3 linked regions of the Alligator mississippiensis genome follow. The protein of the gene in region 1 binds, or shares a complex with, the protein of each later gene. Links are inferred from orthologs where the notes say so. Each region holds a gene or a part of one and is shown on either strand. Other genes may lie near its edges.

What was found. The genes of interacting proteins can lie anywhere in the genome.
Region 2: the proteins of RUVBL1 (region 1) and VPS72 are in contact, whole or in part, in a cryo-EM structure (PDB 9CA9), measured with the Homo sapiens proteins. The link is inferred for Alligator mississippiensis from reciprocal best matches to the Homo sapiens genes RUVBL1 and VPS72. Residues at the interface, in NP_003698.1 of Homo sapiens: Thr136, Leu138, Pro140, Glu142, Met147, Tyr150, Gly151, Lys152, Thr153, Ile154, Ser155, His156, Val157, Asp173, Pro174, Phe177, Glu178, Gln181, Ala187, Gly188, Arg205, Thr208, Tyr209, Ala210, Thr211, Glu212, Phe213; in NP_005988.1 of Homo sapiens: Ile212, His215, Arg263, Thr264, Phe265, Ile266, Thr267, Phe268, Ser269, Asp271, Phe274, Trp277, Phe278, Gln280, Gly281, Arg282, Pro283, Pro284, Lys285, Val286, Pro287, Arg289, Glu290, Ala299, Leu300, Tyr301, Arg302, Pro309.
Region 3: RUVBL1 (region 1) and MBTD1 share a complex: the UniProt entries of both Homo sapiens proteins name them as parts of the nuA4 histone acetyltransferase complex. The link is inferred for Alligator mississippiensis from reciprocal best matches to the Homo sapiens genes RUVBL1 and MBTD1.

The regions. Positions count from the first base shown.
Region 1 is NC_081835.1:19,183,351-19,193,077, reverse strand, and holds the start of RUVBL1 (ruvB-like 1), read left to right. Parts: upstream 1-5,584; 5' UTR 5,585-5,664; coding exon 5,665-5,805; intron 5,806-6,103; coding exon 6,104-6,190; intron 6,191-7,377; coding exon 7,378-7,510; intron 7,511-9,727. UniProt on the Homo sapiens protein: Possesses single-stranded DNA-stimulated ATPase and ATP-dependent DNA helicase (3' to 5') activity; hexamerization is thought to be critical for ATP hydrolysis and adjacent subunits in the ring-like structure contribute to the ATPase activity.
Region 2 is NC_081838.1:20,095,190-20,105,516, reverse strand, and holds VPS72 (vacuolar protein sorting-associated protein 72 homolog), read right to left. Parts: upstream 4,993-10,327; 5' UTR 4,917-4,992; coding exon 4,803-4,916; intron 4,456-4,802; coding exon 4,303-4,455; intron 3,906-4,302; coding exon 3,794-3,905; intron 3,664-3,793; coding exon 3,484-3,663; intron 2,835-3,483; coding exon 2,690-2,834; intron 2,193-2,689; coding exon 1,796-2,192; 3' UTR 1,505-1,795; downstream 1-1,504. UniProt on the Homo sapiens protein: Deposition-and-exchange histone chaperone specific for H2AZ1, specifically chaperones H2AZ1 and deposits it into nucleosomes.
Region 3 is NC_081831.1:10,352,978-10,363,247, forward strand, and holds the start of MBTD1 (MBT domain-containing protein 1), read left to right. Parts: upstream 1-5,278; 5' UTR 5,279-5,422; coding exon 5,423-5,443; intron 5,444-9,609; exon of another isoform or gene 9,610-9,716; intron 9,717-10,270. Other genes in the region: UTP18 (U3 small nucleolar RNA-associated protein 18 homolog), read right to left, coding at 592-683, 977-1,041, 2,043-2,138, 2,294-2,421, 4,653-4,883. UniProt on the Homo sapiens protein: Chromatin reader component of the NuA4 histone acetyltransferase complex, a multiprotein complex involved in transcriptional activation of select genes principally by acetylation of nucleosomal histones H4 and H2A.

The DNA.
Region 1 (9,727 bases):
AACCAACACTCAAGACAAAACCGAACTCCTGAATACTTCACGTCGGTATTCCACCAGTCCAAGGGTATTAGTCTGCTTGACAGGATACAGGGTGACCATGGTGGGGGTGACCACTCTCCCATAGTTGACGTAGATCTTCTGGGGGAGCACCTACAAAGGCTAAATATCTATAAGTCAACAGGACTGGATGAACTACACCTGAGATTGCTAAAAGAACTGGCCAACATCATCACATGAGCAATGGAGAAGTTATTTGAAGACTCCTGGAGCTCAGGAGAGGTTCCAGAAGAATATGTTCATTAACAATTTGGATTCAGGTATTACAAGCAATCTGGCAAAGTTCTCTGATGACACCAAACTGTGGGGGAGCATTTTCACACTCGAAGACAGGCTGACAATATAGGCCAACATGCACAGGCTCGTGAAGTGGGCAGACCTCTCAACCTGATGTCATTTAATACAGAGAAATGTAAAGTGCTCCATCTGGGGAGAAATAACCCACAACACACTTACAGGCTCTGCAGTGCTCTGCTTGCCAGCACCATAACTGAATGAGATCTGGGTGTCATGACTGACAACAAAATGAGCATGAGCCACCAATGCACTGCCGCCACCTGTGAGAGCTCGCCGGGTCCCACCAGCTTCCGGGGGCATACAGCGTTCATGCCACCAATGTGATGCTGTAGCTGGCAGAGCTAACCAAATGCTGGCATGCATCTACTGTGGCATCTTGAGCAAGGCAAAGGATGTTATCCTCCCACTCTACTTGGCCATGGTGAGACCACAACTGGAGAACTGTGTCCAGTTCTGATGCCACACTTCAAGAAGGATGTGGAGAAGCTTGAGAGAGTCCAGAGAATGGCCGCATGCATGACTAGAGGCCTGGAGAACAAGACGTATGAGAAGAGGCTGAGGGACTTGGGATTGTTCAGCTTGAAGAAGAGAAGACTCAGAGGGGACTGGTTGCAGCCTATAAGTATATCAGGGGCATACATCAGGGTTTGGGGGAGCATCTATTCACCAAGGCTCCTCAGGGAAGGACAAGAAATAATGGGCATAAACTGATTGAAGAGTGCTGCAGGCTCAACATAAGGAAAAACTTCTTTACAACCTGAGCATCCAGGGTTTGGAACAGGCTCCCCCCAGAAGTGGTAGTCATCCACCATGGCAATCTTCAAAAAACGTCTTGATGCCCACTTTCCTGTCCATGTGCAGGGAGGGTGGACCTGATGATCTGCAAGGTCCCTTTCAGCCCCTAGCAACTATGAAACTATGAAACTATAAGCATCTCTTAATGGGGGAGGCCACTGATAAACTCATTTCTTGGGGCAAATAAAAAGAAAAACAAGAAGGGGAGTGAGTTTATTGGTTAATAACAAGGGATCCAGAAGGGGACACCAAGCAGAGCACCCCAGCCAGTGCCCACTGCCCCCTTAATGAGTCAAGGAAGCCTGTGGATGCCAACCAGTTAAAATGCCAAGAGATGTGAGCAGAGGAGTGACAGGAAGACAGCCCCACACTCACTTAGGTTTCCCCCAGCCAGAGCCTTCTTCTTGGTCTTGTATATGGCCAGCTTGGCCAGAGCCAGGAGGAAGTTGACCAAGATATCCCAGAGCTTAGTGGGGCCATGGACACAGAGTGCATAACAAAAAATGCAGCCAGAACCTCAGCAGGAGGTTCTAAAGGAGGCGGAAGAGGGGCTGCAACCTGGCACACTCGAGGTAGGCATGTGCCCGGGTCTCCCTCTGCTGGCAAAAGGGGCAGGTGTCAGGGGTGTCTGTAAAGTGCACCAAATACATGGTGATGGCTCCATGGAGAAGCTGCCAACTGAGGTCCCCGGTGACTTACGGGATCAAGGTGGAATACAGACTTGTCCACTGAGGACCCTCAGCCCTGCCCGTGCCATCACCTAGAGTGTCCCACCACTTGTTGTCAGGGCAGGACATGAGGACACGACGATGGATTGAGCACAGCATGACCATGTAAAGCTGGCAGCAGTCAGTTGTTTGTACGTGGACTGGCTTGATATCCCCCAGACTGCTACAATAGTTGGGTGGTGGGTGTTGTGGACTCTGCTGAGGCAGTGCCCCAAAACTAGCTCCAGAGTGCTGGGGGATGGGGACTGCCCTCATACAGGACCTGTCAATACAGGTGAAGGCAGTGGGTGGTAGTGCAGCCTCTACCTCCTGGAATAAGCGAAAGGGAGCACAGAGTGTGGGTAGCTCTATGCACTGGGCCAGCGCAGAAGGATCTGCCCACCCCTGCCTAGCATAGTGCAGAAGGTAGAATTATAGAAAGTTAGGGTTGGAAGGGACCTCAGGTCATCTAGTCCAACACTCTGCTCAAGCGGGATCAGCCCCAACTAGATCATTCCAGCCAAAGCTTTGTCTAGCTGGGGTATGGGAACCCCCAAAGATGGAGTTTCCACCACTTCTCTGGGTAACCCATTCCAGTGTTTTACTACCCTCTTAGTGAGAAAATTCTTCCTAATATCTAACCTAAATGTCCCTTGCTGCAACCTGAGACTTGCTTCTTGTTCTGTCTTCTGCCACCCCTGAGAATAGTCTAGGTCCATCCTCTTTCAAACCCCACTTCAGGTAGTTGAAGACTGCTATTACGTCTCCTTCAGTCTCCTTCTCTAGATTAAATAAGCTCAGTTCCCCCAATCTTTCCTCATAAATCATGTCCCCCAGCCCTCTCACCATTTTTGTCACCCTCCACTGGACTCTCCAATTTGTCTGCATCCAGGAGAGCAGATTTAGGTTAGACATCAGGAAAAACTTCTTTACTGTCAGGATTGCCAGAAACTAGAATGAGCTTCCAAGGGAGGCGGTGCTCTCCCCTACCTTGGGGGTCTTTAAGAGGAGGCTAGACATGCACCTGGCTGGGGTCATCTGACCCCAGCACTCTTTTGTGCCCAGGGCAGGGGGTTGGACTCAATGACCTGCTAACATCCCTTCCGACCCAAACATATATGAATCCTTTCTGTAGTGGGGGGCCCAAAACTGAACACAGTACTCCAGATGTGGCCTCAGCCATGCTGAACAGAGGGGAATAATCATTTCCCTTGACCTACTGGCAATACACCTACCAGTGCAGCCCAGTATGCTGTTAGCCTTCTTGGCAATGAGGGCACACTGCTGACTCATATTCAGCTTATTGTCCACTGTAATCCCCAGGTCCTTTTCTGCAGAGCTGCTGCCCAACCAGGCAGCCCCCAGCCTATACTAGTGCACAGGATTGTTTCATCCTAAATGCAGGATTTTGCACTCGTCCTTGCTGAACCTCATGAGATTCCTTTTGGCTCAATCCTCCAATTTGTCTATTTCACTCTGAATCCTAGCCCTACCCTCTAGCATATCTACTACTCCCTGCAGCTTGATGACATCTGCAAATTTGCTGAGGGTGCACTCTATGCCATCTTCCAGGTCATTGACGAAGACATTGAACAAAACTGGCCCCACCCAAGGTCTCCAATATGAGTGATGTTGGCCAGGACCATCCTCCAGTGCACCCAGGGCACCTCTGTCACCAGCACCATCAGCTGTAGGTTTTTCAGCAGCGGCTCAGTGAGGAGGTCAATGGTCTGGGTGACTGTGTCTGGGGACCCAGATCAACAGCCTCCAGGCCCTAAGGAGGTACTGGGAGAAGTCTGGCAGCTATTCCAGGTCCTGCTTGGGGAGATCTCACAGGGAGAAGAGCTGTCAGTCACACCAGTACCCTCAGAGGTGGTGGAGGAAAACGCAGCTGATCAGGCACCACATTGCCTGGCTATTTGCACTGTACAGCAGCCTCCTCAAGGCCTGAATACAGGTGTGGACCTGGTTGCAGAGGCAGACCAGGCCATTCATGTCCTCCTGCATGGGGAGGCTCAGGATACCTCCAGAGAACCAGTGATGTCCCAGCCAGAAGAAACCTAGTACCTATCTCTGGAGACTGGCCAGGAGATCTGGGGGCATGGCCAGGGTGTTGAAACGATGCCAAAGAACGAACAGGACTAGCTGGTTGAGGATTAGTGTCCTCCCATGAAGGGAGAGACACTGTAACAGTCCTGCCCATGCCTGCAGCTGCTCAAACACCCTGACCTCCAGCTTGTGTCAGTTCTCCAGCTTGTGCCTCCAACTTGTGTCAGCTCTCCAGATGGAGCAGCGAGCCCACACTCTGTTGGATGTACTGCAGCGCAGGTGGGAGCAAGCTCACCTGCCACCTGTCACTCACTATCAGACCAGAGCTCTTGACCCAGTTGACCCAGACAGAGGCGGCAGCTGAGTAGGTGGATCTGCAGGTCTCCAGATGCACCAGGTCACCCGGGTCTTGGACGGTGAGGCTTATGTTGGTGGCATATGGTGACAGAACCACTCGCATGGCCAGCTCCTTGAGCACCAGCACTACCACCTGCTTGTGCAGGAGGCAGAGGAACAGCTCAAAGGAAATGACATAGAGCTGGGCTGGCAGTGGACAACCTTGATGCTCTCCCAGCTGTGGACTCTGTCAGTGTCCTATCGAGCCTGACCATACACTCTGTGAAGGCATACAGCACCTGGGGAAACTGCACGAAGTGGAGACCAGAGCCAAATGTCCTCAGCGTGCCTGTGAGGTATCTGTGATCCACCCTGTCAAACACCTTCTCCTGATCAAGGGAAAGGAGGACAAATGACAGGCTGTCCCTGCGAGCAAGCTCAAGGAGGTCTCACACCAGGTACTGGCTGTCGAAGATGGAGCACCCTGCAACCGTATATCTGGTTGAGGTGAATCACATCTGCCTGCACAGACTCAGGCACAGCAAGATGACTTTTGCTATGACCTTAGTCAGAAGAGGGGAGCGAGACTGGGTGCCAGTTCCTCAGGTCACAGGAGTCCCCCTTGTTGGACAGCAGCATCAGGGCAGCCCTCCTGCACGACAGGATGAAGACGGCAGTTCTTATGTTGTAAGTGGACAGAAACAAAGCCCCACTTCTGTTCTTCCTTTAGTTGCTAACACCAAGCTCCAGAAAGGGGCTGGATTTGGCATCCACATGGCATCGCCTACTGGGACCATTGCTGGGTCAGGTCAATACCTCAGCTCTTCACTCAGTTTGAAGAGGGAGAGGAGCAGCAGGATGATTAGTTTCCCAGTGCCAAGGATAAACCATCATGAAAACACAGTGAGGAATTAAAAAAAAAAAATCAAAGAAGGCAACAACCACACAGCAAAGGCCCTTCCAGGGGACGGGAGCCAGGAAGGCAGGTTTACCACCCCTGCTGCATACAGCAGCTGAGCCTGGGAACCAAAGTGACTGCTTGGGGACAGAAGAGAGGGACTCTCAGTCACTGCCACTGAAAGCTGCATGGACCTTCCCTGACCTCACTTCCCCTCCAGCCAACAGGACACAGAGCGATCACCACGGCTGAGACAACACCCTCTAACACCCCGCGGAACCTTCCTCCCCGGCCACCCGTGCAGAGCCTTTTGAACGTCGCACAAGCGGAAGTGGATGGGCGGGTTCTAAAGAAAAGCAACCCCGCGCTGTGACAGACACGAGCAAGCCCCAATTAGCAGCTGCGCTGGCGCAGAGGGACCCAATGGCGGCGCGGGGGGCGGGGCCGGGGCCGTGGCGCCGGCCGCCTAGGTAACGCGCAGGCCGCGTGGGAACCGCTGCTGCCGCTGCTGTCTCCGCCGTCGCCATGAAGATCGAGGAGGTGAAGAGCACGTCGAAGACGCAGCGCATCGCAGCGCACAGCCATGTCAAGGGGCTCGGCCTGGACGACAGCGGCGCCGCCAAGCCCGCGAGCGCCGGGCTCGTGGGGCAGGAGAACGCGCGCGAGGTCCGCGACCCCCGCCCCTCCCCCGCGGGATGCACCCTGCCCCTCCCCCACCCCGTGCGATGAACCCCTCCCTGTTCCTCCCCCGTGGGACGGACCCCCCCCCCCCGCCACACGTCCCCCCCCCCCGCTCCCCGCTGCCCCCAGGCAACATGGTGAGCTCTGGGGCAGCCCCCTCCTCTGCCCTGGCCTCAGTTTCCCTGTCCCTGCAATAACACCCGTGCTGCCTCTCTGCGTTCTACGCATTTGAAGGCACGTTTCTGACCGGCTGGTAACTACGGACATGTCTTCCTTTTTTCAGGCCTGCGGTGTGATAGTGGAATTGATCAAAAGCAAGAAGATGGCCGGCAGAGCCGTGCTGTTGGCAGGACCGCCCGGCACTGGCAAGGTATCGTTTTGCTTGGGGCCAAAAGGCTTCCCCGCCGCGACTGTTTCTGAGGCACCGTTTCACCAGGCAGCTTCCCCGGCAGTCATGTTGGACTGGAACCAGGGTGGCCTTTGCGGCTGATCACTGCTTGACATCACATCTCCCTGCGATACGTATTTTGGCAGAAACCAATAGTTCATCTAGGTATCAGCCGCATAACACTAATGCAGGAAAATGACGGTATCATAGTCTTATGAAGTCTGTTTTTTTTGGAGGAAGCCCCAGGATTGGGGTTTTAAAAGTATTAACTTTTTTTGCACTACTTAAGGTTTAAGCATTTTCATGAGAGATGGTAAAATGATTTCTCCGCACTATCCGGAGTTTTAAAATTCTTCGTGTTGGTGCTCTTAAGTTTCTTGGGTAAAAACCCGTGTGTGTGTGTGCGTGTGTATATGCACAGGTTTGTTTCTGCATGTAAGAAACAAGGGAGAAAAGCTTGAGGATTTTTATTTTTAAGAAGAATTAAGGGTTTCTGGTCTCTCCATCTCCCCGTCCATTTTCTCACTTGTTGGATTCCTATTTTGTTAGAGATTTGGGGCATTGAATTAGGTTTATCAGAAAGTAGAACTGGAAGGGACCTCATGAGGTTATCTAGTCCATCCCCCTGCTCAAGGGAAGATCATTTCCATGTAAACCATTCCAGTGTCCATCTAACCTGCTCGTGACAATTTCTAGGGACAGCAATGCCTCTCTCAGTGGCCTGTTTCCAATGCTTAACCATCCTCATAGTGAGGAAGCTGTTCCAAATCTCCAGCCTAAATTTCCTCCATGAGCTTTCAATGTTTAGAAAACATCTGGAGAGCCTTTCAGTTGCAGATCTTGAGAAGTGGAGTATTGCTATCCACCTTCTGACCATATTAAAGTAAGTAAGGATGATCATTCCCAACTCCCCTGCCCCTGTGCTCTAGCACAGAGAAGTATGCAAACGTCAGCAGGCATGGTTCATGGGGTGAATTGATTTACCCCCTACTTCAGTTTTAGAAAGGATGCTTGGTATTTTCCTCCACCTGTAAAAATGGAATGCTGTGAAGATTAAAATAGTATTTATTCTTAACTTTGTGGAGCAGTAATCTTTTTTTTCCATAAGTTCTTGTTACTTCTTCTGAAAATATATGTGTATGATCTTCAAATGTTTTGAATTTTTATAGACTGCTTTGGCGCTGGCTATTGCTCAAGAATTGGGAAGTAAGGTTCCCTTTTGTCCTATGGTTGGAAGCGAGGTCTACTCAACTGAGATAAAAAAGACAGAAGTCCTGATGGAAAACTTCAGAAGGGCGATTGGTAAGTACTTGTTAAAAACCATGAGGGAGGGTAAAGTGGCTGTTTGGCTTTTCCGAAAAGAAAGCAGAAAATACCAGCTCTTTGGAGCAGTCCTGTTGAGCAGGCCCCACTGTCATGTTCTGATTTTTATAATTCTCTTTTTAGCACTGTTGGACATTCTTACCAGCTTAGTTGAATCAGGATGCTTTTCTGATAATTCCACATCTCCCCACCTTAGTTATTCCAGCTGAGTCTTCTTTCACTCTTCTCTTTCCATGCCCTCCAGGATCTTTTCTCAATCTTGTAAGTGGCTGTTGAACAAACCTGGAAGAAACTTTCTTTACAGTCTTGGCACTGACCTAGGCTCTGCAGGAGGGTTTTGTAGAAAGGGAGATGCTCTTTTCTCTTTCCCTTTAATATTCTCAGTTCATGCTTGTCAAAAACTCAAACGTAAGCATCCCACACTTAGCCTGGCTTCTTATTCCAGATGAGCATAAGAGACTGGTCTAAGCCACAAAAATGAGTATTGGATTCAGTTAACTTCCTTTTCAGTTCTAGTATGCTTTTTCTACTTAAGATGTTCTGTTTCAATTTATCTGGAAGAACAAAGTTAAGTTGGCAGTACAGCCTCATTGAGTATCTAAAATCTTTTATGATTGCTGCTGACAGCTGATAAAAGTCCATCAGAAGTGGTCCGTGCATGCACATGGATTGTACGGAGATAGCCTAATTGTTTTTAGTATTGAACACATTACCAGTTAACTTTCCTGTTTTCGTATCATGATTTGCTATGGACTTCAACTAGGTATCTAGTGGTGGGAAGGTGAAGACATCTCTCTCTCTTTCTCTCCCCCTGTCTACCTGTATGCAGCAACCAAACAAAAGTGACCTATTGATTTCTGTAAGAAAGCGACTTTCTATAGTGTGCAGTGTTAAAGTTACTGTTAAGTTGCTAGGGCTTGGGGGAGGGGAGTTAGGGACAGAGAGAGAGCAGTCTGCAGTATTTCCTTGACGTGATGAAGTTCCCTGTCAGAGACTTGGAAATTTGAACCAGCAAATGAAATCTGTGTCATCCACGTTGTCATTCCATAGAGATAGCAATAATTTAACTCTCTAGTTAACAGCCAGCCACATTGTTAGCACTCCACAGTCCCTGGATGTCAGCACAGAGAAGGCATCTAAACAAATATTGGTGTTAGTGAAAGATGGAGATTCTTTTAGTCCCTTCTGTTGAATTCCGTTGTAGATTCACCTAGCACAAATGATTGTTAAACATTCCTTTGGATTGATGAATTATTGTAAAAAAAAAATCCTCATAAACCAATTTTAGAAGGTTTAACCCACTTTTTTCATGATGTAAATAGTTTTCAGCCATGCTCAAATCTGACCAGTTGAATTTCACCTTTGTTGGCTGATATATAAGGTTTTGTAAAGTGTTTCCAAGAAAAGATTATGTAAGTTTTCCAAGTGGGAGTAACCTGCAGTGCAAAGCATGTGGTGACTATAAGATAGTACACCATGGATATAAGTGGGACTTCAGTTTTGAGTCTCACTTAGTGCTTTGTAATGAGGGTCCTCAGTGATAGGTCATACTAGATGCAGGGTCTAATTCATGACTCCAGCAAAGTACTTTCACTCACTTTAGCCCCCCCCCCAAGTTTGCTGAAATGATTCAAACAGTTAATAAGCTGACTCTCAAGTGTCTTTCAGAAAGTTTCTTGTTCTTGGATGTAACAAGAGTCCTTCCTTTTGCAACCATCATAACCAGAAACGGTGCTGTGCATTTTCCTGATGTTCTGGGCCTTGCTCATAAATGTGCTTTCTAGCAATGTAGCCAGTATGGTTCCCCTGTTTCCTTTTAGATTTGCTGTATCAAGTCGAGGGCACGCTGCCAGAACTGTTATTGGGGTTCCTTAAAATGTGAGATTCTGGAGTTTGTTGTATACTAAGTGCCATTCTGGATGCCAGTCGCCTACTGCCTGCGCTGGAGAATTTTCAATTTATGAGAGACATAAAAACACAGTGGATCAGGAGATCAGAGGGTGGAGTTCCCCTCTTTTTAACTTGTGGGTCTTAATCCTATATAAAGGCAGTTGTTGCTGAAAAGGCTGATAGAAGTTAATGGTAAATCCCAGTTGAAGTAAAAATAATAATAATAGTATAATCATAATTTAAAATATGATTATGAGTATAATCATAACTGCTGCCTAAAATATCCTTAGATCTCCAACCCATAAC
Region 2 (10,327 bases), on another chromosome or scaffold:
CATGCAGTGCCAGGTGCCCCAACCCCTCTGTCCTCCCAGGGCCAGGTGCAAGGCCTGGAGGCAGGGAGAGCTCAGGGGGCTAGGGCTGAGCAGGGTGCACATCAGGGAGACCCCCAGGCTGGGAGAGGCAGAGGTCAAGGGGAACAGGTTGGACTGCCAGCTTTGTACAGCCCCTAGTGCAAGGGGTGGCCGGACCAGGCCAGGCGGCTCCGACGTGCCTTGTAGTAACGGTGCCTTGAAGCCGGCAGAGCTGGAATTCAGAGCAGCTTGGTTGCGGGAGGGAGAGGGGCGTGATGGAGGGGGACAGCTGAGAGGGGGCAGGGGAGGGCGGGAGGATTATGGCTGGTGTTACGTAGCGGCCAGGAGCCCCCGGGCAGGCCTGGACCCCGCCCACACAGACTGAGCCCCTGCCCAGAGCTCACAGGGGATGGAAGCAGGTGGGAGCATGAGGAGGCATCAGGCTGGGTGTGCCAGGGGCTGAGCTTGGCTCCTGCGGTGGAGGACCTCAGTCTTCCCAGCTGGGACAAGGGGAGAAAGGACCAGGCACCTGCTGGGCCAGAACTGGGCTGTGATGGGAGGCTCCAGGCTGGACACAGCTCAAGGGAGGCAGAAGAGGGGATAAGCCTGTTCTGGACACACCCAGACTCAGATAGGGAGAGACCACAGCCCAGCCCTGCTGGGAGAATCCGCTGAGCTAGGGAGGGACTTGGGGTTTGTACAGCGCCTAGCACCAGGGGCAGCCCAGGGAATCTGAGGCACCATGTTATTGATTAGTAACAAAGCTGGGGGCTGGAAATTGGAGCAGCCTGGCCGCAAGGAGCTGGGGTGGGGGAAGCTTTGGAGGCCACAGGCTGGGGTGTCACTGGTGCTCTAGCCATGTTGGACCCCACCAGGAAGCACCTGGGTGCATACAGCCAGCTGGAGCTGGGGCCAGGAGGCAGCTCAGGGACACGCATCCACCCACAGGACATCACCTGCAACCGCCAGCTTGAGAAACCCCAGCCCGGCTGTGCTACCCAGGCAAAGCTGCAGGTGAATGGTCTGGGGGCAGGATGGGAGGAGCTGGCCTGAGCTCCCAACTGGGCAGACACTCCCCCCACTGGCTACAATCTGACCTCTTGGTGGGGCATCTCAGCGATGGATCCCATGCAGCGGCTCCAGCCACAGAGCCCCCGCAAGAGCCAGGCAGCAGCAGCCTGTCACAGCTCCAGACCCCTCCCCACTCTGCTAGAGGCAGCCTTCATTTCACTGCCCCGCAGGACTCCGGGGCTCACGGACACAGCCCAGCCCTGCTCCACCATTTGTGGGGCCTCTGCACCCATTTCCCAGGGCTGTCCCAGGGCTCAGGAACTGTACACAGCAGTCTGTGTTTCGGTAGACTCTCTGTACCCCCCCTTTGTTTACGAGGGCTGTCCCAGGCCTCAGGAGCTGTACATGCTGGTCTGGGCTTCTGTAGGGTCCCTTTCCACCCCATGTCACCTTGGGGGCTATACGCACCTCTATGTTTCTGTAGGGTTGCCACCTGGCTTTGCATTTATTATACAAAAATAAATAAAAAAACAAAGAGCAACCAGCAGCCCCCACCTGAGCCTGACAAAGGCAAAGGGAGGAAGAGGACACGGGGCCATATGGAGGCTTCCAACATAAGTCCGTGTCCCCTGGAGAGGTCAGTCTGCTTCACCCCCAAAAATAACAGCAATAGCAGCTGATTCAGTCCCACAGGCCTGAGAAACAAAGACAAAGCTTCCTCCCCTTCCCCCTGAACACAGGAGCCCCCCACCCGCCCACAAGGGCTCTATGTAGCCGGGACTGTCTGCTTGATAATGATCTTCTGGCGGGTGGCGCGGATGCCAGGGTCAGCCCCAGGAGGCCCAGCTCCCAGGGCAGCGGTGGCAGCAGCATTGGGCAGCCCATGAGCAGTGATGTACTTCTTGTACGCCTCACGGATGATTTTGAAGGCCCGGATGTTGGAGTAGGGGATGTCAGTGACAGGGTCGCGATACACGGCCGGCTTGTGGGTCACAGGGCAGATCTCGCGCACAGGCAGCCGGGGCTGGCGCCCCTTGGGGAAGAGCTGCTCGAAGGTCTCATCGTCGCTGAAGGTGATGAAGGTGCGTGAGCACTTCCCAGTGATGGGGGCCACAGCTGGTGCCAGCGCTGCCTCTGAGGGCTGGTGGAGATCTTGATCCAACCTGGGCATGGGGGAATTACCACTGGGGTGAGTCTGGGCTTCAGCTCCAGGAGACACAGGCATCCAGGGAGAGAGGGAGCAGGGCTACCTGCGCTCATGGCAGCCACCTACATGATCCCCAGGGCCTCTGCTTGGGTCAGTCCATCCCCATCCCCAACCCCGCCCTTCAGAGCCTGGGGTCTAATCCAGGTTGGTACAAGCTAAGGATCTGACCAGGCCCCAAACACCACCCTGGCAGACCTATGTGAATCCATACACACACAGCTCTGGTCCACAGACCATCCCAGCTCAGAGCAGCTGCAAGCCAGAATGTCAGGGCATTGCAGCTGAGTTGCTGGCAGCTGCGAGATGCCATGGCCAGGACTGGGGGCAGTGCCCAAGGACAGAGGTTGGTATGCGGGAGCCGAGCTCCAGGATCTACAAAGGGAAGGGGCACAAGGATTTTATGGAGAAGGGCTGGACTGGGCCCAAGGGTCCCCCTGCGCCCTAAACACCTACCCCTCCACATCCACGTTCTCCTCCTTGACGCCCAGGTCGGTGATAAGGGGCATGGTCACCGAGTGGTACCGGATCAATGGCCCCACGCACTTGCGCTTCTTCTGCACCTGCTTCTTCTTGTCGGCTTCCAGGCGCTCGTAGTTCTCTGCAGGGATGAAGAAACCGGATGTCAGCACAGCGGGCCTGGGGGGGACCTCACTTCAGCGCCTAGGGTGCCAGGCCCCATCTCCTGCAGGTACTTGCCCACCACTGGGACACAACTCAAGGTGACATGTCACAGCAGGCGGGTCAGTGCCCCCCACCCAGGGGGGAGACAGGGGTCTCCCCTAGCAGGCAGCCTTTGCAGAGCCAGCCACAATCATCATCTAGTTCCCAACCATGCACCGGTGAGAAGAGACAGTGCCCATTCACATCACCCGCAGACTTCCAATTAACACTGGGGGGAAACTGAGGGTCAGCGGTGAAACGAATCACCCAGCCAGGTAGCACCTGAGCTGGACAAAGAACCCAGGAGTCCTAGCCACCGCTAACCACCACATCCTGCTCTCCTCTGGGTAGGGAACCCAGGCTGGCAGCTTCTAATGCCTCTGTCTTCTGGGGTCCTTTGCTGCCCGTGAGCCCCACCAGCCCTATCCCTCCATGACCATAGCCCCAGGCCCATCCCAGCACCCTCACTGTACCCCATGGGGTGATGGCCATGGTCCCACCAGCCCTATCCCTCCATGACCATAGCCCCAGGTCCATCCCAGCACCCTCCTTGTACCCTATGGGGTGATGGCCATGGTCCTACTCACCTAGGGAGCGCAGGTTGATCTCCTCTGTGATCTTGGCCTCCTCCAGCAGCTCCTCCTGTGTCAGGGGACGGTCATAGTTGGGGCCGCCCTTCTTGCGCTTGGACTGCACCTGACGCTCCTGAAGGCGCAAGAATGTCTGGCGGGTGTGCTCTGTGGTCGACTGGCGCATGTGCTTGCGGCCTGGTGGGGACAACAAGGTGGGGGGGGGGGTCAGGGGGCACGGGGGACACAGAGCAGGGAGGCAGCCCCAGGCTCCCAGAGACAGAGGAGCCAGGGGAGCTCTGCTAGCGAGTGCCATGCATGCACTTACTGTCCCCAGCGTCATCCTGCAGCTCCAGGGGTGCCACCTTCTCCTCTCGGGCCTTCTGTGAGCTGCCGCTGGGGGCATCGGCCTTCTTGGGTCTCAGGCTCTTGAGGGGCTCCTGGGGGAGTCACAGCAGAGCAGGGTGAGGAAGGGGAGAGCTGCCGGGGGGATGCTACCTTCCTCACCTGTTACCCCTCATGGGTCAGTTCTTACCACCAGGCACCTCCTCCTCCCAGGGAGGCAACCCAGGAGGCCAGACCCCAACTCTGCTGCTGAGTCCAGACCCCAAGCCTCCCCAACGATCCCCTTCCCGCTGTAGCGGGCCTTACCCCCTTCCCAGCCGCCCCTCCCTCAAACATCCAGGTGACCCTAGTGCATCTGTAGCCCCCTTTGACGGGAAGCCCCGTGGCGCACAGGATGCCTGGGTCTTTGTCCCAGACATCCAGCCCCTTGCGCCGTGGAGCGGGCGCCTCCCCTCCCCCAAACCCCCACGGGAAGCAGAGCCCCGGCCACACCTTGTAGGCCTTGGTAACCACGCGGCGCTTGCGCTTGGGCTCGCCGTCCTCCTGGTCGCTGGCCGGCTCCTCGCCCTCGTCGATGTCGAAGTCCGAGTCCACCTCATCGTCGCTGTCCGACTGGTCGCCTTTGTACTCGTCGTCCCCCGACTCCTGCGGCACCGCCCGGACACTGCCGTCAGCCCCGGCCCCCCCACCGGATCGGCCCCTTCCCCAACCCTCCCAAAGGGCCTCGTGCCCCAGCCACAAAGGACCCCCCACAGACCCGCCCCTCTTCCAGCCCTTCCCAAGTGCCCCCCAAAACCTCTCCCCCACTCTCCTATGCCCCAACCCCCCATAGTGCCCACCCCAGATGCCTCCCACCCTAGTGGGCCCTGCCCCCCAATTACCCCCACCAGTAGGCCCCGCCCCCAGTAGCACTCCACCCTAGCAAATGACCCCATAGGCCCCGCCCTGGCAAACTCCGCCCTCCCCGGGGTCCCTCCCGCGTGCGGGCGCACCTCGGTGAAGCCGCCGTACGTGGTCTGGTAGAACTCGTCCTCCTCGGCCTCCAGCAACCCCGAGAGCCGGTTGCCCGCGGTGCGGCGCGGCGCCCTCCCCTCCGCCAGGCTCATGGCGCCGAGCGACGCGCCGACCCGCCACTGCGCGGCCTGGGATCGACCCGCCGGCCAGCCACTGCGCGGCCTGGGAGCGCCGAGAGTGGTGCGGGAGGCGAGCGCCGGGAACCAATCGAACGCTGAGTGATCGCTGGCGGCTGCGCAGGAGGGTGGAGCCTCGCTTGCCCCGAGCTGCCTCCTCGCAGTGGCCCCGCCCCTACTCTAACCCACCACTGTGGTCTCCCATCCAGGTGTTGACCCTTCTGGGCCCTGCTTGGCTTCTAAGATGCTGCGGGCGCCCCAAGCCTAAGCTGGGCGCCCGGGGGGTCGCGCATGCTGCTCCCCCGGCAGCTGCCCCAGGAGATCTGCATGTCTGCACCCAGGGGCGGGCCCTGCCACCCTGCAGGGAAAGATGCCCACGTGTTGGGGCCCCTTTAGCCTTTCAGCCACGGTCTGAGACCGAGGTAAAAGGGGTGCGGATGCTGTGGTTCATTTTCCCAAAGGACACATCACACGTTTTTCTCCCGGTGAAAAGAAACTGGAAGTTTTCATAGATGTTAGGGTCGGAAGGGACCTCAATAGATCATCGAGTCCGACCCCCTGCATAGGCAGGAAAGAGTGCTGGGTCTAGATGACCCCAGCTAGATGCCTATCTAACCTCCTCTTGAAGACCCCCAGGGTAGGGGAGAGCACCACCTCCCTTGGGAGCCCGTTCCAGACCTTGGCCACTCGAACTGTGAAGAAGTTCTTCCTAATGTCCAGTCTAAATCTGCTCTCTGCTAGCTTGTGGCCATTATTTCTTGTAACCCCCGGGGGTGCCTTGGTGAATAAAAAGTCACCAATTCCCTTCTGTGCCCCCGTGATGAACTTATAGGCAGCCACAAGGTCACCTCTCAACCTTTTCTTGCGGAGGCTGAAGAGGTCCAGGTGCCACAGTCTCTCCTCATAGGGCTTGGTCTGCAGGCCCTTAACCATACGAGTGGCCCTTCTCTGGACCCTCTCCAGGTTATCCACATCCCTCTTGAATTGCGGCGCCCAGAATTGCATGCAGTACTCCAACTGCGGTCTGACCAGCGCCCGATAGAGGGGAAGTATCACCTCCTTGGATCTGTTCATCATGCATCTGCTGATGCACGATAAAGTGCCATTGGCTTTTCTGATGGCTTCGTCACACTGCCGACTCATGTTCATCTTGGAGTCCACTAGGACTCCAAGATCCCTTTCCACCTCTGTGCCACCCAGCAGGTCATTCCCTAGGCTGTAGGTGTGCTGGACATTTTTCCTCCCTAGGTGCAGCACTTTGCATTTCTCCTTGTTGAACTGCATCCTGTTGTTTTCTGCCCACTTGTGCAACCTATCCAGGTCTGCCTGCAGCTGTTCCCTGCCCTCCGGCGTGTCTACTTCTCCCCACAGTTTTGTGTCATCCGCAAACTTGGACAGAGTACACTTCACTCCCTCATCCAAGTCACTGATGAAGACATTGAAGAGTATCGGTCCAAGGACCGAGCCCTGCGGGACCCCACTGCCCATGTCCTTCTAGGTCGATACCGACCCATCCACCACAACTCTCTGGGTGCGACCCTCTAGCCAATTCGCCACCCACCGGACTGTGTAGTCATCCAAGTCACAGCCTCTTAACTTGTTCACCAGTATGGGGTGGGATACCATATCGAAGGCCTTCCTGAAGTCTGTATATGACGTCAACCCCTACTCTTGCGTCCTTTTCCTACTAGGCCATGGGCCTGGGGCTGTAGTCTTCACTTGAAGATTTGTTTTTGCATCCATCTAACTTTATTGGAATGAGTTCAAGGCAGTCAGCAGGGCTGTAAAATAGGAGCTCCGTGCCCAGGAGCGTTGCAGAGCGGGTCCTGGCTGGACTGGGGGAACACTGAGGCCATTACATAGGAGAGAGGGTCGTTAACAGCTGCGGAGTGAAGAGTTCAGAAGGAAGCAGGTAGACGAAAGTGAGCCATTAAGTCCACTGATCTGTCAGCGCTGCCTGACTAGAAACACTGCTGCCACTGCAGGCTTTAAACTTTGGGTGGAGCAGGAATCAGAGAGGTGCGCATGCATCAGTGCATCCCCCTGGATCCACCCCTACTGGGGCCTCTGCCCCCACAAGGTTCATGGCCTGGGGGGGTCCATCCACAGGTGAGGGCAAGAGCTGGGACTCTGCCAAGGCCAAGGGATAGCGTGCGTGCATCTCAGCTTACCAGCAGCAGCTGGCAGCCAGCTTGATTAGTCTGATCACAGCAGGGACCTGATAACCTCTGGTCTCAACTCCTGATCCAGGGCTCATTAGATTCCCTTTTATGCTGTTGACTTTAGCTTTCCTGCCATACCTCCTGGCTAATGGCTGGCACAGAAACAGCAGCTCTTTAAACTCTGCTCCATGGATCTATCGCACCTTTTCCCTTTTGTTTTATCGCTGCTAACAATGGTTGCAGTGAAACGGGATCTCCCTGAAGAATTCTGCTGTGAAGCCTTAACTCCCAACATCTCAATGCCCCACACAAACCTGCTGGAAATGTCTTGGGGAACTCAGCCTGGGGTCCCAGAACAAATCAAATGTTTGCTTTAACAAATCGGAGGATTGGACCAAATTAAATCTCATGAGGTTCAACAAGGACAAGTTCAAAGTCCTGCTCTTAGGGTGGAACAAGCCCATGCACCAGTATAGGCTGGGAGTGGCTGGCTGGGCACCAGCTCTGCAGAAAAGGACCTGGGGGTGACAGTGGGCAATAAGTTGAATATGAACCAGCAGTGTGCCCTTGTCACCAAGAAGGCTAACAGGATCCTGGGCTGCATGATCAAGAGCGTTCGTTGTAGCAGATAGAGGGAAATGAAGAGTGTTTGTACTCGAAAGCTTGCAAATAAGATTTTTTCCAACAATTTTGGCTGGTCTAATAAAAGATATCAGATTTACCCAAAGAACCTTGTCTTCCTAGTCCCCTCTGTTTGGCACTGGTGAGGCCACATCTGGAGTCCAGTGGCCAGTTTTGGCCCCCTGCTACAGAAGGGATCTGGACAAGTTAGAGAGAGTCCAGCAGAGATCAACAAAAATGGTTGTGGCACATGATTTATGAGGAGAAACTGAAGGAACTGGACTTATTTAGTCTGCAGAAGAGAAGACAGAGTGGGGATTTACTAGCAGCCTTCATCTACCAGAGGATGCATCTGGGCTGTTCCCAATGGTGGCAGATGACAACAAGGAGCAATGGGCTCCAGTTGCAGAAAGGGAGGTGTAGGTTGGATATTAGTAAAAACTTTCTCATGAGGAGGGTAGTAAAGCACTGGAACAGGTTACCCAGAGACGTGGTAGGATCTCTATCCTTGGAGGTGTTTTAAGACCCAGCTCAACAAAGCCTTGGCTGGGATGATGTAGTTGGGGCTGGTCCTGCTTTGAGCAGGGGGTGGGACTAGATGTGACCTCCTGAGGTCCTTTCCAACCCTCATTTTCTGATTCTATGAATTCTCACCCCAAACTCTGAGTTTCACTTGGAATCAGAACCAAAGATCAGCCTCTGGTTTGTTCAGATCTGTTTTTAGCAAATTTGCAAAAGCTGATTGACAGGTTCCCTGCGATTTCAGGTTTCATAGTGCATGCTTCGAGGGGTGTTGAAACCCATGTTCCTTTTATCACGAAAAATCCACCGCAGCCTGTTGTGATCGGACTTGAGTGGGGCAACCTCATGTGAAGAACAGCACCCAGGGACAGTTGTATCTGGCTTCAGAAACAAGGATCTGCAGGCCAAGTTCAGCCATGGTGTAAGCAGGCACAATCTCATGGAAGTTCAGGGCCATGACACCCACTGAATTTCGTCCGAAAAGAGACATAAGGTAAATCTCAACTTTCAACAGCATAGTCTCTCCTGAGAGAACTTTGCAGCAGTTCCCACGGGGCTTGGATTTGTCTCCGTGTGTTCATGGCACACGTCTGTGCCTAATTAGGTGATCTCAGATGAGGTTTGCAATACACCCAGAAGCACCTCACAAGACTACTGAGGAGATGCATGATTAACCACTTACCAGGTTGCTAAGCTATTTGCTGTGAACACAGCTCCTTTTGCTTAGGTGCTTTTGAACTCAACAGGTGCTTTCACACCCCAGGAATCTCCAGAGCATTTTGCCATCAGGTCATTTGAAAGGTTTGATAGATACAACAAATGTCTGCATTAACTTAGGGTCATAAAAAAGCAGGGTTGGTAGGGCCCTCCAGAGGTTGCATCTAGTCCAGCCCCTTGCTCAAAGGAGGATCATCCCTGGAAAACCCTTGCTAGACAAGTGTCTGTTTAACCTGCCCTGGAAAACTCCCAAGGAGGGCGATTGCACCCCCTCTCTGGGCATCTCTTCCAGTGCTGAACCACCATTGTAGCTAGGAAGCTCTTCCTAACATTCAAGCTAAATTACCCTTGCTGCAATTTAAGACTGTTACTCTTTGTCCTGTTTCCTGCAGCCACAGAAAATAGTATATCTCTACCCTCCCTGCATTTGGAGACTGTTATCAAGTCCCCCCTCAGTCTTCTCTTCTCCAGACTCAACCTTCCCCATTCTTTAGGCCTTTCCTCACCAGTCCTGTTCCCCAGACCTCTGATCATTTTTTATTTGAGTCACTGTAGCACAGCCTGGGAACTGTGTCATTTCTTGCCTGCTCTGCACTGGTGTGAACGACTATACAGGACACAAGGCTACTGCACATCAAACCCAGAGTCCAGCATATGTGTGTGTGCACTTGCATTATTCTATGTGTCTGAGAGTCCCCTCCTCTGTCCTTCTGATCTTGACAGCGGTGTTGCCTTCAGGTAAGAGCAAAGGAACTGGAGATTAGTTTCCTATCTGTTTTTTTTTTAAGCTGAGCACACTGAATGGCAGAAAGACCTGTCCCTTCATTGTTTCCATCAAATAAAAAGTCAGCTTCTTCCCTGGCAAAACCCCACTGACTTCAGTAGTATTATAGCAGGTTCAGTTTGGGCCCAGAAAACAAAAGGGCCAGATTCTCTTACCCTTACCTGAGATGAATACAGTAAACTTGAGATGAATAACCCCCTGCTCTAGTTTCATACCCCGTTGTCCCAATTCCCCACCAGTAATTAGCTTGGGGTAATTGGTGCCTCTGGGATAGTTCATCCTGATTTGCATTCCTTTTGGAATGGCAAATGAACCAGAGTTTACTGTAGTTCCCTGCTCTGATAATGGTCCCCATGAAATTGGTAGGGCAGACCCACAGGCCTGCAAACTCAATGGAAAGACTCATTAATGTCAAGAGCTTTGGCTCAAGATCAAGGTAGAGGTGTCAGAGTTCGGCCCCACAGGCTGAGCAGAGGGTGCTTTCTCTGACCCCTCTCTATCAAGCGTCCTCAGTGCTCAGGTCATATCTTCCAGTCACTGGAATACCTCTTGGGGGTCCAGACAGATGTTGTCTGTTTTAA
Region 3 (10,270 bases), on another chromosome or scaffold:
GAAGTGCTTCTTGTCCACTTCTGGGTCTGCTGCCGATTGCGCTGGGGAGCTCCCTGTGCTTCTGTGGGACACTCTATGCACCCCAGCATCGCAGCACTCACGAATTGCCTGCTACCTAGAGGTATGTAGAAAAAAACATTTAAAACTGCGTCTATGTCTGAATCGGCGAATATTTCCAAATCGATTTGGAGGGTTCCAATTCAATTTGGAGAAATTAAAGGGTCCTCTGATTCAATTTGGATTCAGAGATTCAGCCACCAAATTGGGCTGAATCGAATCAGGGACCAAAGCTTTGCACAGCCCTAATGCTAATGTTTCTAGAGTAGATGGGGCTACAGGTGTTGAAACTGACTGTTAAGTCTCTCTCATCATCATATGGCACTTATGATAAGAACACAACCGACTTCATGTTCCCTAAAGGGAAAAAAAAAAAACAAGCTTTCAGGTCTGGAAAACCTTTCAGTAAACAAGGCATCCAAACAGGAACTGGCAAACACTGCTTCCCAACCAGTTGAGTAGCACAGCTCTGTCTCGAAGTCTGTGTACCCAGACCAACTCCAGGGGGGAGGGCGCAGCAGGGTAGTTATTTACCTGCAAAATACCTTTTGGTAAAGACTCTGAAATAGAGACAAAGTTGCCAGTCTTGCATAGAAGATCATCATCATCTTCATCCCCACTGTCATCTAAAAGAGGAAGCCAATTCTTGAATATACAGTTTATTCCAGTATCTCAACTCACAAATTTAAGATAATCAGATGTTTGCTTTGGGGGAAGCAGGTAGAAGTCAGTCATAAATAAAAGTGCATTGAAGAGCCAAAGCTAAAAACATCTCTGCATAGTTTACTCTAAGGGGTGGGGAGTAACAGTAAAAAAAAAAAATAAAGCTCTAAGTGGTAACACAAAGTAAGATGCATTGAAAGCACTGAATACTTTACTGACCATGTTAATTATCATCATTTCTTATTTTATATCTTACCTTTCTTGGTTTTCTTCTTTCCTCTCTGGGCCCATGAAGGCACTCCTCCCATAGCTCTCTGAAACCTTAAAAAGATAGAATACATTCCTCTTTAGGAAAGAATGAATAATATGTACACATTGCCCAGAACCCATTTTCCAGAGAGCCATTATTTCCTCCCCCATTCCCAACCATCACTGTAGAAAACAATATCTTGTGCCTGACAGAGTTCCACACTCCTACCTGACACCCATAAACCGTCCTTTCCTTCTTTTAAAGGGCTTTTCTAGTCTGCTCCCACCAAATACACTTTCTACAGCCTGAGATCAAACTGCTGTAACTATAAAATACTCTTGGGCACGCTGGTTTTATTAACCATGGAAAGACAGACTCCAAGTGTCCAAGTACAGAAGTAACTTCAAAACTGAACAAGTGACATTTTCCTACATGGTTATGTTCACATGTATTCCAGAAAGCCCTTAAATACAAAGGTATTTACATTTCTAGTGGCAGCAACTTTTTCTTATATTCACAAAACTGTACGTTTGGGCTCACAACTTCTGTCTTCACCAAAATGTTGTCTCTCTCCTTTAAACTAAACACTCCTCCCTAATAGTACTGATTAACACACTTCACTGTCTCCTTTTAGGACCCAGCACTGACTGCAACTGTCAGATCTCTACTCGGCTACTGTTTTCCTCCCTCAGGCAACTTCTTATTTATATTCCCTTCTTACTCGCCACTGTATTGCTGTGCACGAAAACTACTGCTATGTTCCAATGCATTGGTGAAACAATACCTACGCAAATTTGAAACTGGGCCCTTGGAATGAAAAGAAAATACACAAATCCTCTCTTTCAAGGAGTAATGCCAGGATTAATGCTAAGGAAATCAAGGTTGCTTACTCCAAAAGCACAAGTAAAATTTCACTGCAACATGCTGAGTATTTAGGTGTTGTCGGGGGGGGGGGGGGGGGGGGGGGGGGAAGGAGGCATTTTTAATACTGCTATTAGATCAATTCTTGTTATTGAAATTAGCAGCAAGATTTATGATTAGCAAAATCTGTTTGTATAGGAAAAAACCTTACTGTTCCTGAAGTCTTATTTGAAGTTTTTCTTTGGTAAGACTCTTCTCGGCATCACTCTTCATCATGTCTTTCCGATACCGATGGGTCATATCAATCCTAGACAACAGAGCCATATTTAGGATGTGAATAAAAAATTGCAAGTTTAATGACTTTGTTCTCAGTATACCTCCAAGAAATAGGCAGTTAAAAAGGAACCTAATCAAAGTCCCACCTCTCCTGCCCCCTTTTTGGTCGCTACGTACTGAACTTACTTTTCTTTAATTTCATCGTCATCGTCCACCCAGGCTGGTTTCTTAGATAGAGGAAAATTGTCTTGTGCTTCATCTTCTGAATCACTGGAGTCCCCTTTCAGAAGATTTCCACTGATTACCCCATCAAGCTTAAAAACAAACAAACACACATAAGTCTAAGGGTACAGGCACCTGTATACCTGGAGTCATTTTAAGAGGTGAACACTTCGAAAGGCAAGAGCTGTTACCTCCTAATTGTTATTCAGGAACAAGTCAGCAACAATAGAAATGTAGCAAGACCACTCCCACTTCAGTGCTGCTTTATTAAGCAGCAGCAGGGGTTGAAACAGTGTTAAAGTTGGAGCAGTTGTGTTACAATTGTACCAGTTTGTCCTTCACAGATAACAATTATAAAGTAATAATTGCTGTCCTTTTGAAGCACTCCCTTTTGAAATAGCTCCAAGTGTACCTGTAGACATATCCTAAAATAACAAATTTAACAACTGTAAACTGAGAAGACACTTTTCAGGAAAGCAAGTGTAAACAATCACCATCTCCTGTAAAGACAAACACATAGAAAAAACAAATGTTAGTCCTATGGCAATTCATCGCTAAACCATTTCCTCAGAAGGGGAAGTTTAGAAGACAGACTCATGAGAGGTAAAGCAGGCTAGTAAAAAAGGCTGCCTACAAAGCAGTTGTAGCAGGTGTCAAACTCATCCATCACTGTAGACTGAACGAGTGGTGCAGAGCCAGTCCACAGACCGAATCAGGCCTGCAAATCCCCTCCCTTCCCCTGGCATTCTGGGTTCAAAACCCACTCCAGCCACTGTGGGATCCACGCTGTGTGCACACAGATCGCAGAGCAGCCAGAACAGGCACTGTGTGCAGCACACTATAACAGGGGGTGCACAGCACAGACTTCAGACCGGCCAGTACCCTCCCTGGCCAGGCTGCACCACATGTGGCACCCCCACTGAGAACTGTGCTACACATGGTGCCACTCCTGGTCTGGGACCCACACTGCACACGGTGCTTGCAGGCACTGCATGTAGTGCAGGTGCCAAACTGGCTAGAGTGGGTGCTGTGTGCAGAGTTGTCGGGCCACGGCAGGCACCGCATGTAGTATAGTACCTGCTCTGGCTAGTCTGGGATCTACATGCCCCCAGCTGACAGCCACGAGGTGCCCATTCCAGTTACTCTGGGATCTGCACCACATGCGTCCGTCTCTGTGGCACAATTCTGGAGCAGCATCTGGAGCTGCAGGTTGGGCCCCCACACCTCTTCCCTCCCCTTCCACCACAACACACTTACCAGCTGCACACAGCTCTCCATGCTGTATTGGTATCAGCGGATACGCTTCCTTAAAAACTGGCTATCAGTATTGGCCCCAAAAACCTCTCTATTGGTGCAGCCCTAGGTTGGGGAGGCTGAGGGGGGGGGGCCGTGCAGTGCATGATCTACTCTTACGTAGAGATGAGATCAGCGTTTCTCAGCCCGTGGGTCATGACCCAAAAGTGGGTTGCAAGAACATATGAAAGGGTCTCAAACAAACTTTAAAAATGGATTCTCCTTTAACAGAGATAAACATGGGAAACCGTGGCTTTCCCCTTGCTGGATGGCAGAGTCCCAGCCTGCGAGGAGATGCTCAGGGCCCCTGCTGCCCCATACCCATGCAAAAAGGGGGGGGGGGGGTAGGGCCTGGGGGCAGCCTTTTGGGAGTGAAGGACACCGGGTCGGGACTAGCCATTGATGTTTACAAACGAGTCCTAGTACAAAAAAAAGTTGAGAACCACTGCTCAAAACCAGCTGTTCCCAATCTGCGGTACATGCACCACCGGCGGTACGCAGACAACCCATCAGCAGTACACATTAACAATTAATAACTACTTAAACACGACAAAAATGCATCAGATTGAAGTGAGTAAGTCACTGGTGGTAAAGGTGGTCTCATTTTAAATCAGCGGTGCGCAACCCGTCTGCTCTAGACGACGGGCGGATGGGACGGTTGGGTCGGGACGATCCTGCCTCACGCAGGGGCGGGACTCGGTGACCGCTGGAGGTCTCTTCCAGCTCCGCCTAGGACGGGGGCCACAATTAAGAAGCGAAGGCGGCCGGCAGCAAGTGTGTTTGAACAGCCAGGGCAGGAGGATGAACATCGCCAACGAAAGGGTGGAGAAAGAAAGGGGGGGACGAGGACGAGGGCAGCAGGATGGAGGCCGGACGCCACGTGGGACGCCTGGCAGACCCCTCCCGCGCCCGCTGCAAGGCCCAGGGCTGGGAGCCCCTCCCGTCTGCCGGCTCCCCCCGCATTTCCACCCGCTCCTCGAGGCGCCACGCGGGCGCGGGGGCACGCAGCGAGGCTCCTGCCCGGCCTCACCTGCTGGCTCGGGCCCCGCAGGCGCTGCAGCAGCTCCGCCTCGCCCGCCTCCTGGACGCCGCCGAACACCAGCGCCTCCAGGCAGCGCTCCACCGCCGCGCTCTCGCCCAGCGCGCCCGGCAGCCGCGCCCCCTCGCCGGCCTCCGCACCGCCCGCGAGCCGCTGCCTGTGCCGCCGGCGCCGCTTCGCGCCGGGCAGGATACCGGCGCCAGCTACCACCTGCTCCTCCATAGCCGCTCAGCGGAAGCGGAAGTGACACTACCCCTTCACGTGACAATCCCACCCCAATCACGTGACGCCTCGCTTCCTGCCCCATGTGACAGCTGGACCGGTCCATTCGCCCCCTTTGCGCGGGGGGGCTGTAGGCTGCGCTTGCCGCCTCCTCCTCCTCCTCCAGGAACTTTGTAGAGACGGAGCCGCCCCGCCGTGCCCCTCAGGAGCTCGGCAACAACCAGCAGGTGAAGCCGTGTGCCGCCGGGCAGCGCAGCCCGCGCGTTTCCCCCACCGCGGAATGGTGCGCGCCGGGCGAGTACGGCGAGCCGGGAGGGCCGCAAAGCCCCGGGGGGCGGGGCCGGGGCTCTCGCCGCGCCTGCGCACTGCGGGGATGCTAATGTTGTTGATAGTCTGGCCCGGGGAGTTGGGGTTTCTTTCTCTGTGGCCCGAGCGCGCGGCGGGACGTCGGGCCCGGCGGGGGGGCGCGCAGGCGGCGCGGGCCGAGCCGGGGGCAGGGCCGGGCGCGGCGGCGGCCGCCCGCTGCCCATGAGGGCCTGATGGAAAACACAAAGGACCTGGTGAGCGGCGCGGGCGGGGGGCGGCCGCCGGGAGGGGGCTGGGCCCGGGAAAGTTTCGCGGAGCGTCGGGCTCGCTCCCCCCTCGCCTCGTCCCCACAGCCCGGGGCGGCCGGGCCGCTTCCCGCGGCGGGGGAGCGCGTCCCAGCCCGGCCGGGGGGCAGCCAGCGTGTGGGGAGCGTGGACAACTCCGGTGCGCTGGGAAGAGAGGCTGCAGCCCCCTCGGTCTGCAAACCAGCCGCCTCCCCGCGCCAACCGCGCTCCCCAAAACGCTTCGTTATCTCGTGTCGGCAAGAGCGACTCAGGGGTCGCGTCGATGCGCGGCCTCCCGAACGGCCGTGCGTGTCTTCTGAACGCTTTTGCTGCGGCGCGTGGTGCGAGTCCGTGGGTTCGTTCGTACGTGCACATCCACAGGGCGGATACGTACGTACGTGCAGAGGGTTGAAGCGATGGCACGGGTGGGATAATTGGGCGCCAGGAGGGGACGTCCGGCGGGAAGGTTGGTCGGTCGGTCATGCCGGGGACAGGGAAGGCCTGGGGCTGCCGGGACGTCAGCGTTGAGAGAACGTGCGAATCCACGTGTGTTTGTACAAGCGCGTGCGATGGATACGTACGTACAAACACGTACGAGGGTTGAAATAGGATAACTGTCGGACGCTTGGCGACGCCGCTGGGGCCTGAGATGTGACCCCGCAGCCGCCGTCTGTAGGGAGGGGACGTCCCGCGGGAAGGGGGTTTGTCGTGTCGGGAGCAGGAAAGCGGCTGGGGCTGACGGGACGTCGGAGCGAAGAGGAGCCGCTCGGGAGAGAACCAGAGGGACGGGAGGTCGTGAAGGGGAGTACAGCTGTCGCTCTGCAATGCCAGCCTGGGAGCTTCGTGCTCTGCTGTTATTTTAGTCTCTGGTTTTCACACCGTGGCTACGTGGGAGAAAACCCAACATCATCTAGGTCCTGGTACTGAAACGCTCCAGCCTTGTGCAGTGGGACACGACTAGGACCTGGAAAACAGGATTTGTACTTCCTCGGACGTAACTGCTGGGGAGGTGGAGAAGTTGGAGGTGTCCCCTTCCTTGCCTTCCCTGGTTTTTGACTCCCTGAAAATTGACTCCAGTCCTGCAGGGTGCCCACCCAGTGCCCTGAACATGGTAGGGTGGTGCTGCTGGAGTGGTGATGGTCACCACACTATGTTGGAGGTGAGGGTCTAGTGCAGCGGTTCTGAACCGGGGATACACGTACCCCCCCGGGGGTACGTGAAGCCTCATTCGGAGGTACGTGAGATATATTTCATACACTGTCTAACAGAGGTCGAAGGGCCTAAAAAAATTAATTTCCCATTGAAAGGGGGTACATGAAGTCTCACTCTGACACCAAAGGCTATGTCAACTGAAAAAGGTTGAGAACCACTGATCTAGTGGGTGATATCTTTTATTGCAGTGTGCAGCTGGTTCAATAAAAGACATTGCCCCCGAGCATCCTTGCCTTTGAACTTCCTGCTGGCTTTCTGCTTTTAAGCTGGTTATTTTTTTGCCTGCTGATGCTGAACTGTATTTTGAAACGAAGCTGTTGCTTTCTCCTACGTTTCCTGCTTTTCCTAGTATTCTGCTTTCTTTGCCCAAGGACTTTAGGGGACAACACAGTTTAAGTGTTAGGATAATTCCCCACTTATGTATGATTTCTTTTTATCTTGACACTTCTGTTTGCTCTGTAGGATTTGTTTTTCTTGTTGTTGTGTTTCTGGCATCAATTTGAAATCTAATTAGTTTTTAAAAAGCAATTGCAATTTTCTAGTGGTACTCCAGTCCTAACTTTTTAAAGAACACCTCTAATATGTGAGGATTGCTTCCACCCTCAGAAGGCCCCTGTCAGCTAGGTGAGACTGACAATAGACAAAGCGCTGTTAAGTGCACAAACTGAAGGGCAAAACTGTGTAATGATTTTTGCAGATGAAACTTTTAATTGTTGCAATAATTGGCAACACACTCTTGGTTAGAAATGAGTCCTCCCAAGAGGAGAAGTAAAAAGTGGGAATCGGAAGAGATGTTTTTATAAATCTCCTCATATGTTGCCTTTAAGTTGCTGCTGAGTTGCTTGCATTTCTGATAGTTGTAACGTTCTGACAAGGTTTTAGCTTCACAGAACCAGAGAGGGCAGACATACAATAAATCTGCACATTTCCAATGGTTCTAGTTGATTTTGGTTAGCTTTTGTGTGAAAGAGATGTAATAATAAAAAAATCACTTCAGTTGCTGGTGCTTACAGTTTACTCCCATCTAGAGTTAGGACTGAGCTTACCATGTATATTTATAAGTCTTTTCTAACCAAAAAAAAAAGAAGTATGGATGTCAAATTTCTTATAAAACTTAAAGAAAAATATTGTACAGTGATAAAATGTCTGATGAATTGAGTCTGTTTGCGGTTAATAGCTTGTAGGTCCTGCGGAGGTGCATTACCTCCTGTATTCATGCAGGTAGTACTAGGTGCTAGTAGTAGCCTCTGATGTGATGCAACTGTCCTAGAGGTTACACCTCTCCCCTCTAATGCAGACCTCGATGTATTGATCCGTGCCTCAGCTGCCTATAATATAGTTACATATTTTGGGGTTAAGTTTCAATATAAGCTGAGGTCTGTGTGGTGCAGCTGCAAATCTTTGTGAGATGAGCCTTTAGTAATCTTTATGAAAGCACTGTAGTGGTTCCTTTCTCGTATCTGGAAGCTGTTCAAGATTTGGCGAGTGTAGTTAATATTTTGAATAGACTTGGATCTGGATATTTGAAACCTTCCTCTATGCCTCCAAATCCATGCTGTCACAGCAGTTAACAGCTGCCAGAGTGCTCGTCCTAGAAAGCACGGGGAAGAGCTATCTAGGTTGAAGGGCAGGATGTTTTCTGTTGCAGGTTTTTGCCTTCTACTCATGGTAGTCTGCCAACCCTTGAGTTTGGTTTCCATCAGGACATAATTAAGGAAATGTTTTGATTAAATACTTATTTCCCCTTTTGTGTTGTGTTTTGGTTTGTGTAACTCACTTTTTCTGGCTAGCCTTCTAGTTGGTTGTGATTTCAAAAGAGCATGTGCATTGTATGGCGCAGGCACATAGTCACCTGCATGGACATGCATTAAACACATTGTTACCTCAGCTGCCATACAGGTTAGATGGTTGTGTGCAGTAGGGAGTAGCTGCCAGTTATCTGTCCCAAGCCAGTTTAGCAACACAGTTTCTTGCCCAAGATTAGGGGAGGAGGATCATCTGTAAAAATGCTGGGGGCGGGGGGAGTTCTGCCATAGCACTTTGATATTGGTATGCCTAATTAAGCTCCATCATGCCTTTTTGATACGTGCACTGTCATCCGGCTCCCTGGTGGGCCAGAATGGTGTTGTAGCTCTTCAAGAAAGAGAAGTGTATGGCTGTCTGGTGGAGGGATGTTATTTCTCCAGTGGTTGCATTCTGTCGTATTTCCCCAATGAGTTTGCAGTGTTTGCACGTATGCAAAGTGTTCAATCTCTTTAAGACGGCAAGCCCCAACCAACATACCTACTGAGTCTGGTACCTTTTTTTTTAGGAACTGCTTCACTTTACTTTTCCAGTACCTTTTTTTTTTTTTGCTACAGACATTTCCCATAACACCTCTTTCCTCCTGCTACTTGAGGCTAGGCAACTCCGTGTTTTATGGGGCCTCAGACTTCCCCCACTCAAGACATTTTTGGCATGGGGGGAAGAAGACCCTTGGCTATCAGAGGTGAAACTAGTGCCCTGAATCCTAGTAATAATTTTGAGGTAGAGACAAACTTTCTCCAGCCTTCTTCCTGTTAATTCCAGCTTCTAAAGGGTGTGGAGAAGCTTTTTCTTTTGTCCATTTTTTTTTCCCTCGTGAGAGTCCTCACTAAGCATACCCATGTTAATAGACAACTTAATATGATGCAGTTCTGTTGGAATTAGTCCAAGCTATTTGTGGTTTTAGGTGGACTTTTAGAGAGAGAATAAGTTACTAAAATCTCAGTGCTGCTGTAGTTTCTTTCTGATTACTGAAGCATGCAAATGTAAACATTACATTTGGTCCCCTCTTGCTTCTAGCTGTCCTCCTAGATTTTTGATCAAGCTAAGCAGAGTTCGACCTCCAACCTCTGCAGACAATGGTGTCAGATTCTGACGGGTGTTCTTTTCACTGATCCTCCAGCTGCTGCAGATGCTGTTTTTCAACAAGATTATTTTAAAAAGTCTCTAGTGGCAACTTTTGCAAGAACTGGGATGCTAGACCTGTCCTGGCAAAACTCCAGCTTGGGTAATTGCATTATGCCTCTTTATTGCTCCTTTCTTTCCCTCTGTGTTTGTTAGAATGGGTGGCAGAATCTTATCCAATAAGTAAATATAAGGCTATAGGACATTAAATGTGTCTTGTACATGATACTTACAGCCTGCAAACCATGATCGTGAGAGCTTTTGAGATTTACTTGGAATTGGCAGGAAATGTGAATCTGCTTAAGGAAAGAGAAGCATTCTTGGATGCTAACACACCTCAGAGAGTTGGGTTGGGAATCATCCCAGCTGCAGTCCAGTTTGCTATTATTAGGAATAACTGACTTTGCAGCACCAGCAGAGGGCAATGTCCACGGCCAGTATCTAAAGTAGGAGGAATACACAAAATTGTCTAGAATTGCATTCTTGTATTGCAGCAGTTTCCCCCACATTCAGTGTGTGAGTGTCCTGTGGAAGCTGGAGATGCAGAAGTAGAACCGCTATGCAAGTGTGCAGGTGTGTTGTAGCTGTCAAAAGAAAAGAAATTGAGACGTGACAAAAAAGAAAGACTAGAAGAGAGAGAGTCTTAATGCTGCTGCT